3 linked regions of the Rattus norvegicus genome follow. The protein of the gene in region 1 interacts with the protein of each later gene in a pairwise test. Links are inferred from orthologs where the notes say so. Each region holds a gene or a part of one and is shown on either strand. Other genes may lie near its edges.

The links. The genes of interacting proteins can lie anywhere in the genome.
Region 2: the proteins of Mid2 (region 1) and Cep57l1 interact in binary tests that used the Homo sapiens proteins (3 or more experiments, as listed by UniProt). The two-hybrid records come from large-scale screens. The link is inferred for Rattus norvegicus from reciprocal best matches to the Homo sapiens genes MID2 and CEP57L1.
Region 3: the proteins of Mid2 (region 1) and Ccdc42 interact in binary tests that used the Homo sapiens proteins (3 or more experiments, as listed by UniProt). The two-hybrid records come from large-scale screens. The link is inferred for Rattus norvegicus from reciprocal best matches to the Homo sapiens genes MID2 and CCDC42.

The regions. Positions count from the first base shown.
Region 1 is NC_086039.1:109,227,292-109,230,853, forward strand, and holds part of Mid2 (probable E3 ubiquitin-protein ligase MID2), read left to right. Parts: intron 1-995; coding exon 996-1,229; intron 1,230-3,562. UniProt on the Homo sapiens protein: E3 ubiquitin ligase that plays a role in microtubule stabilization. Mediates the 'Lys-48'-linked polyubiquitination of LRRK2 to drive its localization to microtubules and its proteasomal degradation in neurons.
Region 2 is NC_086038.1:46,874,016-46,878,165, reverse strand, and holds the start of Cep57l1 (centrosomal protein CEP57L1), read left to right. Parts: upstream 1-1,318; 5' UTR 1,319-1,377; coding exon 1,378-1,422; exon of another isoform or gene 1,423-1,548; coding exon of another isoform or gene 1,549-1,668; intron 1,669-4,150. Other genes in the region: Sesn1 (sestrin-1), read right to left, coding at 1-236. UniProt on the Homo sapiens protein: Centrosomal protein which may be required for microtubule attachment to centrosomes.
Region 3 is NC_086028.1:53,787,602-53,791,664, forward strand, and holds the start of Ccdc42 (coiled-coil domain-containing protein 42), read left to right. Parts: upstream 1-1,231; 5' UTR 1,232-1,398; coding exon 1,399-1,481; intron 1,482-1,784; coding exon 1,785-1,890; intron 1,891-2,319; coding exon 2,320-2,424; intron 2,425-4,063. UniProt on the Homo sapiens protein: Essential for male fertility. Required for sperm development.

The DNA.
Region 1 (3,562 bases):
CAAGTGTGCTTCAGGTGGTACGGTTGTAGACCACATGTACCTTTAGAAACAATATGTTTTAGTTCATGTGACATAAAAGTGGACATCTGTCTGTGGCTCATTGGCAGAGATCTTGATCAGTGTTACATATCGTTCAGGCTTCAATAGTAGTAAAAAAAGAAGTGCTTTATCAAAAAAATCAAATTTATTTCTTATAATGCACCACATGAGTCCCCTGAGCTGTTCGGACTCAGGATTAGTTTTCCAGACACATTTTTCACATAAAAAAAATAGCTGTCAGAGGTGACAGCCTACAATTGTTAAACTGACGGAAATAAAGACTAATCAATATCCATGAAGGAAAAACAAGATAGTAAAGGATGACACCAGCTTGTTCAGAATGCTGGCCACTTTCGGGATTATCGTATGGTCATCTCTGCAGCAGAGTCTGTACACAATCACTCTGTTGTTCATAGCTATATTCTTATTATATCAACGCACCTATTACTTATTATCTGCTTCACTCCAGACATTGTAAGTTAATTTTGTATCATTATTCCCCATAACGAATCTATAAGGTAACTACCATGCCCATTTTACAGTGGGAAATTCTTATCAATTTGCATTTTAAATAGTGTCAAATGCGTAGGAGAAATCATTTTGAAGTAAACATAGGTTGAAGTCCATGAAATGAGAAAACAGTATTTTGCTTTGCTATCTCTATATGTGCCTTTAAAGGCATTCTAGAAAACTGGAGAAATCATTACAATAACTTAGTCTTACATATTTGTCACGGATGTACTTAGCGGGAGCTGAGGTCTCAACACATTGCTTCAGTCTGCATGGTTGTTGTCCTTTAAGAGAATTTCTATAAAGCTAGGGATGGTGCTGTGCTTTTCTAGCATGGGCTTAATCCCCATGTCTGGGGAAAAAAAAAACCCACAAGAAAAAAATAAAACTCCTACTACTTCTGAGACAAGGTATTTCCTTACCACTGTCTTCATTTCTCCTTTCAGCTCCAAACCCACCATCTATCCGAGAAGAACTCTGTACTGCTTCCCATGACACCATTACGGTCCACTGGATCTCAGACGACGAGTTCAGCATCAGCTCCTATGAGCTTCAGTACACCATATTCACTGGCCAGGCTAACTTCATCAGTAAGTCATGGTGTAGTTGGGGCCTGTGGCCAGAGATAAGGAAATGTAAGGAAGCAGTAAGCTGCTCAAGACTGGCCGGTGCGCCACGAGGCAAGTGTTTGTAAGACATGTGAGGTTGTTTAGTATAGACTTTCATAGACAGTGTAAGCTCCCCAGGGTGTTGTAAAACATTACTGATGAATGATAAGCAAGTCGTGTATTTCCCTGCTGGGTAGTCGCTGGGATCATCCCTAATGGTTTATGTAACCCGTAGCCTTCCTTTAATCCATATCACTCCATTGACCGAAAGTGCTGCTTAATATTTGTTCCTGGGTAGCTAAGTCACCACCATTCCACGTGAGTGAACTCTATCTCCCTCCCCCTGCCCCCTCTCTCAGTCTCCTTCCATTTCATTATCATGATAAGAGAAAGTTCCCTTCAAAGGCCATTGCTTCTTTTATTCCACCTATTTGTGTCTATGAACATGTAGGTCAGTCTTCTGCCCTGTCATTCTTCTCTTTGCTACTTCTTCATTTCCACAAATAAATCCAGTAAATAAAAAAGCAGTGGTGGAGCCAAGTACAGTGGCTCATGCTGATAATCCCAACATGCAGGACGTTCAGGCAATAGAATTATAATTTCAAGGCCTATCTCAAAACAATAACAACAACAACAACCCCCAAACAAACAAACAAACAAACAGCAGTATCAGTGGGCCACAACGGTAAATACATATGTTTAAAAGGCTGTATCAGCCTACATGTGAGGATGGTTTCACCTCCTAGTGAACCGGAGCCAAGACCAGGCGCAGTAGGAACTTAACTGATTGGCTGCAGTCAGTAGGAATTGAGCAGAAAGGTTCCCCTCACTTCATTGGGGTGGGAGCAATGGGATCCAAGGAGAATCAAAGCAGAATTCAAGCAGTTGCATTGGCAAAGCTGCAAAATAATATTTTCTTTTACTTTGTACTTTGCATTTCTGTCTCTCTTCACAGAACAGCATGAATAGACTTTATTCAAATAAACCGTCTTCATGCTTTCTTTTCCTAGCTGGTAACAATTCTTGGGCAAACTTCTGGGTTTTTTTTTTTTTTTTGTCAGTACTGGGGTGGAGAGATGAGGGAGCAAAATGTTTAAAAGCACTTGCCTCCTGCAGCTCCAGTCTAAGCTGCTTGGTTCATGCACCCCTTGTCCCTGGGCATTTCTTCAGATTATGAAGTCACAAGCTCTAATAGGTTTCTTCTTATAGTATACACTGTAATTTCTGGAAGCCAGTATCAAAAACAGGAACTGTCCTTTAACTTCCTGATAGGGGAAGAATAATTATTTCCCAGAAGTTGAGAACAGGTTCAAGATATGACAAACGTAAAAATTACCACCTGTTTTCAAAGCTCCAGAATCCTTTGTAATTAAAGGCCTAAAGGAGTTGCTACTAATGACAAGGTTATAAGCATCTTAGAGTTGGACTGTCCCTTAGAAAGTATCTGATCTAATCTTCTCCTCTACCCACAAGTAACTATCTCTGCTTGAATGCTGCTAGTGAGGAAATGTTCATTTTCATGAAAGCAGTCCATTTGATTGCTGGACAGCTATGAATGGTCTCCAGTTCTCTTTGTAAATAACAGGGACAAAAGTAAACTATGTGTGCATTCCGCTTTGCCATTCTCACGTCTGTTATCTCATTTAGTCTTCACAAGCTCTTAGCCTTCCGAGATTGAATTGATTCAAGTTTCACACAAGAAGAAATTGGTGCTGCAGTTAATTGAGTTTCCCAAGGACACAGAACTCAGAAAGGATTGAGATCAGAACCTGTGACTGTCAGACTTCAAGCTTGAGGTTTCTTAATTAAACTTTCTGTGCCTCATTAACAAACATTCTATCTTTCGCATAACAGTTGCTCAGATATTTTAGGTAACTCATATGTAACTACTAAATTTCTTCATCTTTATGACTCAACCTTTTTAGTTCTTCAAGTTGCTCCCTTTCAGTCAGCTTTTAAGGGCTTTTATCATCATGAGATTTGTTTTATGGACTGTCGACTGTCGGTCAAAGTGCATCTAAAACATGCATTGTGTCAAAAATGAATATAAGTACTCTGAAAGGGTTATGACTTCCCCAAAGGATATCTTTATTTTTTATCTTCTCTGAGGCAGGCTGTCTAGTAGCTCAGGCTGGCCTTCAATTTCCTGTGTAGTAGACAGTAACCTTGAACTTCTGAGAGTCTTCCGTCTCCACTGGCTGAGTGCTGAGATTATAGACATGTATTGCCGAACTCAGTTTTATGTAATGTTGGAGACGGAATCTAGGGCTTTCTACATAGTCGGCAAGCACTCAACCAATGCAAGGGTGTCCCTAATCAATGGATTATATTTCTCGCACATGAGCTTCTGCCCTCTTGTTCTGTACGTTTCTTGGCAGCCACATTGATTACTGAATTTTTCCAAG
Region 2 (4,150 bases), on another chromosome or scaffold:
TTAAAGGGACATCTCTTGGACAGCATAAGCAGATGGGCAAGAAGTTTATTCATCCCATCCAAAGAAACACCATTTGAAAGCCCGTCCGAAGGTCGAGAAAGTGTCTCTTTGGCAGAACGAAGGTACTCGGTTTTTCTCAGAACAATCTGCCTAACGCTTTCCAGTGCTGTCTCTCTAGTAGTTGGGTCTCTACTGCACAGACCCTCCCACCTCACTTCATTCTCTCCTTCGGCCATGACTGACAATCGTGAGCTTTTTCTTTTTCAGTCTTTTTGAGAGAGAGATTGGTTAAGAATAAAGTCAGAAAAATCCAGCGGTCACGAAAGCAGGCGTCTGGATGGCACTGGGAATCACACGTGCTTTTTTAAAGTTGATGCTTTCAAATCGATCCACAAGGCGGTTCACCCAGGCACCCTCTCCCACACGAAAGGGCAGTCTTCTGACAGAGATGGAAAAGAACCAACTTGGAAAGTTGCAATCTCACAGAGCTGGTTAGCTGGACAGGGAGTCTCGGGGAAGTGCTCTCGGTGTCGCAGGGTCAGCGGATATCCTCGCGTTGTGGAGCTGTCAAATCCGTGCTTGGTCCCAAAAGGCTGGTAACAGTAGAAGGTTCTCCAGCCATTCGATTTTTTTATTTTTTGTCTGTGCAGCGGCCAGTTTTCTAGTGTTCCCACCCCGCCCTCCTCCGACACCAGTCTCCGCCCCTGTCGGCTCCTCCTAGCGCCTCGGCAGGGCAGCGGGCGGGCTGCTGGCGGGGGTAGGCGGTAGACCCTGGCCCTTAGCTGCTGGGGCCTGAGGCTCCGGTGCTCCGGGGACTCCAGTGCCCACCAGTCACTGTGTCAGCGGCGACAGAGGGCAGCGTCGCCGACCCTGCCGGTTCCTGTCTTCCGGGGTACGCCGTGCTTCTCTTACCCCTCTGTCCTCGCCCACCTCCGCCAAGCCAGAGGGCACCCAGCGACCCAGCAGTCATCGAGCCCCGGGCTGCGCTGCTGAAGCACAGGGCCCCAGGCACAGAGCCCGCCCCTTCGCCCAGCCCCGTCGGTGGGGCTCGGCCCAGAAGGCGGGAGCAGGGAGGGGAGACGGGGTCCTCACACCCAGCCCCTCCCCTGTCCCCGCCCGGGACCGCCGGGAGCCGCCCCTGCCCCATGCCTGCCTCTCCGCCCAGGCACACGCGACCCGCAAAGGCAGCCATTGGAAGCAGCCCCGCCCTCGGGCAGAGTACCTCCGGACCCCGAGTCCAACGCGCGCCGCCGGCTAAGGCCGGCTGCTGCGCATGCGCGACGCCGGCCAAGGCGCATGCGCTCTCCGCGGCGTTGTCCGTTCTCGACGTTTGGAGGCGCTGGCTTGAAGAAGGGTAAAGGAAATTAAGGAGTACGGATGCCCCGAGATGTTTATCGCACAAGAAAAAACGAACAAATAAAGGTGCTTTGTAGTATTCCTAGTATAAGTGGGATATAATTAAAGATTAGCCTAAAAATTAGTGACAGCCAAGCCCCAGATTCAGTAGGCAGGGCGTCTTTGCGTTGGCTTTCGGGAAATGTAGTTGTAATGCTACCGACGCGCTCTGTTTGCGACAGAAAATACAACTCCCAGATGCCACCGCGACACTCGTCTTTGCCCGCGAACCAACGGTTCTGGAGGCCGTGGTTAACTGGGAGCGTCTGTCTGGTAAGCGTGGTAGACTTGGCTGTGAGCCGCTCATTGGAAATGGTTTTCCCCTGAAATTTTGGTGCTGAAGCCATCTGGGATTGCTTTCTTTCATTCCAGAGCCTTTCCCCAATGGCTTGCCGGGAGAGAAATAGTGCAGGCGCTAAACTTGGTGGGTGACTGGAGCAAGGATTTGGGGATAATTGTTTGGAAGGTCGAGGAGCAGCCTTAAGACAGGCAAGCTGGGGAAAACAAACGACGCCGCTGCTTCCGCAATCCTCTTGCACGGGATCTGTAAGATTCGAGAACACCCCTCTGAGCCCTACGTTCCGGATGTCACACTCGTTTGAATCTTACGGAGCCAGTTCTGGATGGATTAGGAATCCCTACTAAGCATTGCAATTGCACCTTTGTTCTTACAGGGGTGTGTTTTGCGCTGTGTTTTTGCTAAGTCAAATAGAATCCGAAGGGATCTTTGAAAGCAAGTCCGTTTTGTGTGAGACCGAGAAGAACTCCCAAATGTCCCTAGGTTCGAAGTTTTACAAGCTTTGAAAGGTTCTGTATGAAAAGAAGCCCATAAAAACCTCCCAAATGTGTTGTCTTTGAGTGATGTGGACATTTCTCAGAAGGTGTTGTGAAGTGTTTATACTTGAGAAAACTCAGATTTGGAAGGTTTGTCTAGTAAGACTGGTAATCGGATTAGATTTTAATCCTTTGTTTTACAGAGTAAACGTAGTCATAAAATATTGATCAGGGACTGGAGAGATGGGGTGGTTGTTTAAGAAGGCTTGTTCCTGGGGCTGGGGATTTAGCTCAGTGGTAGAGCGCTTGCCTAGGAAGCGCAAGGCCCTGGGTTCGGTCCCCAGCTCCGAAAAAAAAGAACCAAAAAAAAAAAAAAAAAAAAAAAGGCTTTGCTAACCTAGGACTAATCCTAGAAACTTCTAGCTTCTGTAGAAGCCTAGAATGTTTTCAGCTTCTGAGACTTACTGCTGAATAAGCTCACCCTTCCTGGCTCTCTCTGAACTCTGGCTGGCTGGTTCAGCGCCCAGCTGTTCTGACTCAAACTGGCATCTCTTGCTTCTGACTGAATTACTCTGCTTGGCTTCAAACTCACTCACTCTAGCGAACTGTTCTAACCTTCTGCTCCTGCTCATTCAGTCTTTCCCTGTGTCTAACTTGTTCTCTCTTCAACCTGCCTCTGTAAAACTCCCAGTAAAGCTCCCTTCCTTCCTCTCCCTCTGCTCTGCTCCCTCTTATGTTGCCTCTCTCCTTTCTCTTTTCCTGAGAGCTGGGCATATCCTATTCTATCAAATCTTTTTCTGATTCGTCACTTTGTCTGCCTCTCAGTTTGAAAGTAGACATCACATGGCTGCTTCCTTCTACAAACTAACTTTACCTTCATTGTTTGGGATAAAAGGTGTGTGCTAAGGGCATGTCAGTGTTCTAATCTGAGTAGCCATGTTGCTGGATTAAAATCCCACCACAGGCGAGTGGAAAAGACATAACCCCTCATCGTATTAGAAAATTAATGTATAAAATAAGTTGTGATACTATTTGATATTGTTGGCTGTGGGAACATTTAGCCCAATCTTAGAAAGTCAGGGAAGTTTTCATCCCAAGGAAAATGAAGGCCAAATGAATAGCACAAGGCTTCAGCCAACAAGTGCCTGCTGACTGCCTTCTGCTCAGTAGGGCGTCACTGAGCTTGTAGTCTAGGAGAGCAAATAAGAGTGCATGGCAAAGGAAACAATGAAGCAAATTGGAAAGGAATGAAAAGTGCTTGACTGGCGAGAAAAGGTTCCCCTTTCAGTCTGAGGAGGATCCTTGATGGCTTGTATGTGCTGGCTGCCCACATCAGCCACCTCAGCCACCTCGGGACAGCTGTTAGAAGATGAGCTAGCAGGGTGGAGTTGCCTTTATCCAAAGGCCTGCAATACTGAGAAGATGGTTTAGCCTCCAATCTGGTGTGTGTGCGCGGGTGGGGTACAGAGGACTCTGCTATTGTGGAGGATGATGCAGACAGTGAGCAGAGAGTCCGTGCTGGGAGGGGGAGTGGTGTGGAGTTTTCTCTGCCTTGTTCTGGGTGGGCTTAATTCTCCAGAGCGTCACAGGGGACCAAGGGCCCATGGTTTTTGTTTGGGGACATGGGCTGTTTTGTTTGTAGGCCCCTCCAGTTACCTTTCTCTGAGTTAATTTATGTGCTTTGCATTCTCTGACGCTACATCAAATCATCTCATGAATCATCAAAACCAAGGGCTTTTGGGAGTTCTGAAGGTCATCCAATTTAATCATCCCGGTGGGACTAAAGATTCCAGAGGGACACGAGGTCTGGGCAGAGGAGACAGGGGAAGACTGGACAGAGAGGGACCTACTTGAAAATACGGCTTTTTTTTTTTTTTTTGGTTCTTTTTTTCGGAGCTGGGGACCGAACCCAGGGCCTTGTGCTTCCTAGGCAAGCGCTCTACCACTGAGCTAAATCCCCAACCCCGAAAATAAGGCTTTT
Region 3 (4,063 bases), on another chromosome or scaffold:
AACTTAGAAATAATTTGTCTTATTGCCATCCCGCTGGGTCTACATCTAGAGTTGAGGTTAGGGGTTTACAGTAGACTGTGGGGTGAGGTGGGGATAGATGGGTGAGTTCAGAGTGGGTGGGCTTTTTTTCTGTTGCCCTGAGCAACAGAAGTTAGAACAGGGGCAGAACAGGGATACAGAACATACAACCACTCTTTTCCTCATGACAGAGATTCAGGGAGCTGGTGGAAGTAGCCAGCAGGGCGTGCCAGGTGACCCCCACAATTTAGCCTGCAAGCTCTGTCCTTGTCTTTCTGCCAGAGACCCCAGCAATCCTATCTGAGCTCGCTGGGAGGAAGGATAAAGAGGGGTCAGCATTAGGGCTTAGTGCCAGCAGAGGTCACTATGGTGCTGTTTCACCCAGGGCCCCAAACTTACACTGCTTTACCCTCAAGTCAAATAGGTCCTCATGTGCCCCCAGGGATGGAGGAAGGTAGCCATACAGAAGTAAACCATTTAAACAAGGGACTTATTCCATTACCCCCCTCACCCGCACTTTCATCTCAAAAGTATATCTTCTTTGTACTTAATAACTCACTCTCACGTTAAAGGGGCCTTGCCTTGCCTGGGCTCTTTTCCACACTCCTAATGGCCACTCCCTGTAGGCCCACTACTTGGTTCTAATGCATCTCATTTCCCGCATTTTCCACACTTCTCTGTCCACTTCATCCCCCCTCCCTGGGCTTATCTAAGCACCTACTGCTTTTCTTCTTCACCATCCATCCGCTACCCAATCTCTCCTTCGCTCTCACGTACCCCTAACTCTAGGAAAGTGGTGCCCCAGGAGCCAGCTTCACACACCGGACTCCTCTGGCAGACCCTGCCTCCCTGTCTGGTAAGGGAGTAACAGATCAGAGTTCCTGAAAGGTACCAGCGTGATCAGAGAGGCCACCTCAACAAGGGAGTGAGGTTATTGGGGCGGCAGTAGCACACGCCTTTAATCACGGCACTCAGGAGGCAGAAGCAGGTGGCTCTCTGAGCCCGAGGTCAGCTTGGTCTACAGAGTGAGTTCCAGGACAACCAGGGTTCACAGAGAAACCCTAACTCGAAAAAACAAAAAGGGAGAGGTAGTGGGGAGCTAGTGGGTCCAAAGGTTAGAGGGCAGATCGTGGGTTCCAGTTAGGTCTACAGAACTAGGCAGCTTGTTGCTAGGTAACCAGATCTCCAATCACCGCAAGAGCGCACCATACTTAGGCAGCCTCTAGCGGGTTTCTCAGCTACCCACTCTTTGTGGGATTTTGAAAGCAGGAGGAGAGACGAGCGAGAACCCAGCCACTACCCCTGCGTGCCCTGTGGCTCTGCCCCTCACCATTTCACTCTGAAAAAGTAGTCCACCCGGGCTGTTAGGTAGTTGCCACCATGAGTTTGGGCATGATGGAAGAGGAGGACCTGGCCGAATACTTCCGGCTACAGTATGGAGAGCGGCTCCTTCAACTGCTGCAGTGAGTGTCTGGTATAGCCTCTGAGCTTGGGACCACTCTTACCCACACGATGCTCCACTGCCTGATCCTTCCTTTCCTACAGCCCAGGGCTCCTCACTTCCTTACCCCATTACCCAACTCCACCTGACTCTGGGCCCCCATCACTCCCTCACCCCTAAAAGCCCATGTAGCCCTCTCTCCTCAACACACCGCTCCTTTCGTTAAGGTTTCCTTCCCATGGACATCCATCTCCGAGTTACTCCCTACATAACCCTGCTCCTGTCTCTCAGAGGCCCCTGTCCCCCTTTTGCTCTTCTTGTGCAGGAAGTTCCCAAATGTTGAGGAACAGTCAGACTCTCCATCCATCCGGCTCCTGGAGAAGAAGAAAGAGGCCAAGGTCATGCAGGAGGCCATGGAACATAAGAAGGAGGTGAGGTGGGGAGTTGGGGGTGTTAAGGGTAGGGGTACAGGGTAGGGAATGAATTAGCTGGGGCTTAAGGTTAATGGATGCTGGGCCCTCACTTTGGAGGTTGAGGTGGCTAGAGCTGGAGCTCTAGCTAGTGGTTCTAGCCTCTTCCCTCCACACAGAACAGTGGTCCTAGTATATGAGGAACTAGGGTCATGGGATACTATACTAGGAGCTCTGTGCAGAATAGGGTGCACAAACCACAAGTCCTTCTGTAACTACGTTTTATTTGAGGAGTTAGAGATTTAACCCCTGGTGACTGCTTTTCCACTGAGCTACATCATCAGCATTTCAAGAGCCTCCTGGCTAAAGGATAAAACACTTTGGGCAAATGATGTTAGAGTCTTTCTGAGCACCCTTGTCAGGCGGCTCACCTCCTCACATCCTCTAAAGACGTTCCAACGAAGAATGGAAACGCTGAACTTGCGCTGGGAGGAACTCGGTATTAAGGAAGAGCAGCTGAAGGCCCATATCCAGAAGTTCGAGCAATTCATCCAGGTACAAAGTAGGGTGGTCTGCAGTGGGTGGAGACTTTACACAGTGCTGGACCAAATGGTTCTTCCCCCTCACTTGACTTCGTAGGCTCTCCATGCTCCCGACCTTCCGGATTAAAGGTGTTTTCCCTGGTCTGGTAGCTCCTGACCTTTCCCAGGCATCTTCTATATTCTATTTACCATCTCTGAGCTGTCCCATTACCTGCCAGTCTCTGCTCTCTAGTTGACCTTTTCCTTGCCTGAGTCCAGGATAGCGTATCAAGCAGATGGGTAGATGAATGGCTGTGATGATAGACGGGAGTATTTGTGGATACAGCAGTGAGTCAGAGGGACTTGGTCCACTCACTCACTACTGTATCCCTCCATCTTTGTCCTTGCACTGAAAGTGAGGGACAGATGAAGGTGGGAAACCATTGCATTGAAGGACCACGAAGCAAAGAAACTAGTAAGAAACTCTGGCTTCAAGAATCTTTACCTTGGATTTGGGGTTAAACAACGTTCCCCTTCTTCCTTCTAAGGTCTCAGGGATCCTGAGGAAGCGATGAGTTTATCAGGATTACTAACAAAGCACAGATGGGTAGTTACAAACAGGAGCATGAATGACCCTAAAGGAGCCACACTGGAAGGTATACAGCGTAGATGATGGCTTCCATGCTTACACAGAGGACACCTCTCCCCAGTCCTTCCCTATCTATATACTCTAGCTCCTCCCAGAGACGCTAGGGTCATGTGAAACTAAGGCAGACTTCCATCCAACTGGTTGGAAGGAGTTGCTGGATACTCAAGTGAGGGTCCCCTGATTCTCTCCACCCCTTACAATGAGGGAGCACCAACGGTCAGCAAGCCCAGCTGTGATGGATCTTCTGTGGCTGGGTCCTAAAGATGACAGCAGTTTGGCTCAGAGGATAGTCCACTTAATCAGTACTTAGAGGAATGATTTGGGCTGGCAAGATGGCTCAGTGGGCGAAAGCACTTACTGCCAGGGCTGACAGCCTGAGCTAGACCCGGACGGAGGACCTGCCCATTGGAAAAAGACAATTGACTCCCAGGACTTTTCCTCTGATCTCTGGGCGTGCACTGTAGCGTGTACACACACATACACACACACAAATAAATAAAAATGTAAACAAAACAAAATCCCACCCAGACTTGTTGGTCAGCAATCCTCCAGGACCAGCAGTAGGGAAGCCCTGAAAGGCTAAGTCCTGTTGCAGGGGGAGCTCATTGCTGCCCTCTCCTGGAGGAACCCTACTCTTATTAAAGTTCCTCATTCTGGACGCACGACTGTGCAGAGCAGGGATATCAATGAGTTTTTCTTCTGAGATACAGTCCACCTGGACCAGAGCAAAGTTGATAGAGTATTTGAGGGGACAGGAAGTTTGAGAGTTAAGGGCTCCCCAAGTGACTTCCAGACAGTCAGCAGCTATGGAACTTGTTGCAAATACAGACGTCAGTAACTTTTCCTTCTGCCTCTAGCAGGTCTCAGGTTGAGACCAGACACCTATAGGTGTTTAAAAACTTTCTAGGTGTTTCAGATAGGACTGACTTTGGCATCCCTCGGGCCTCTCTTGTGCTTTGGAGCAGGACACATATCTGTTGCCTTTCTCCATTCCCCAAAATGTCCCCACCATGCGTACTCATCC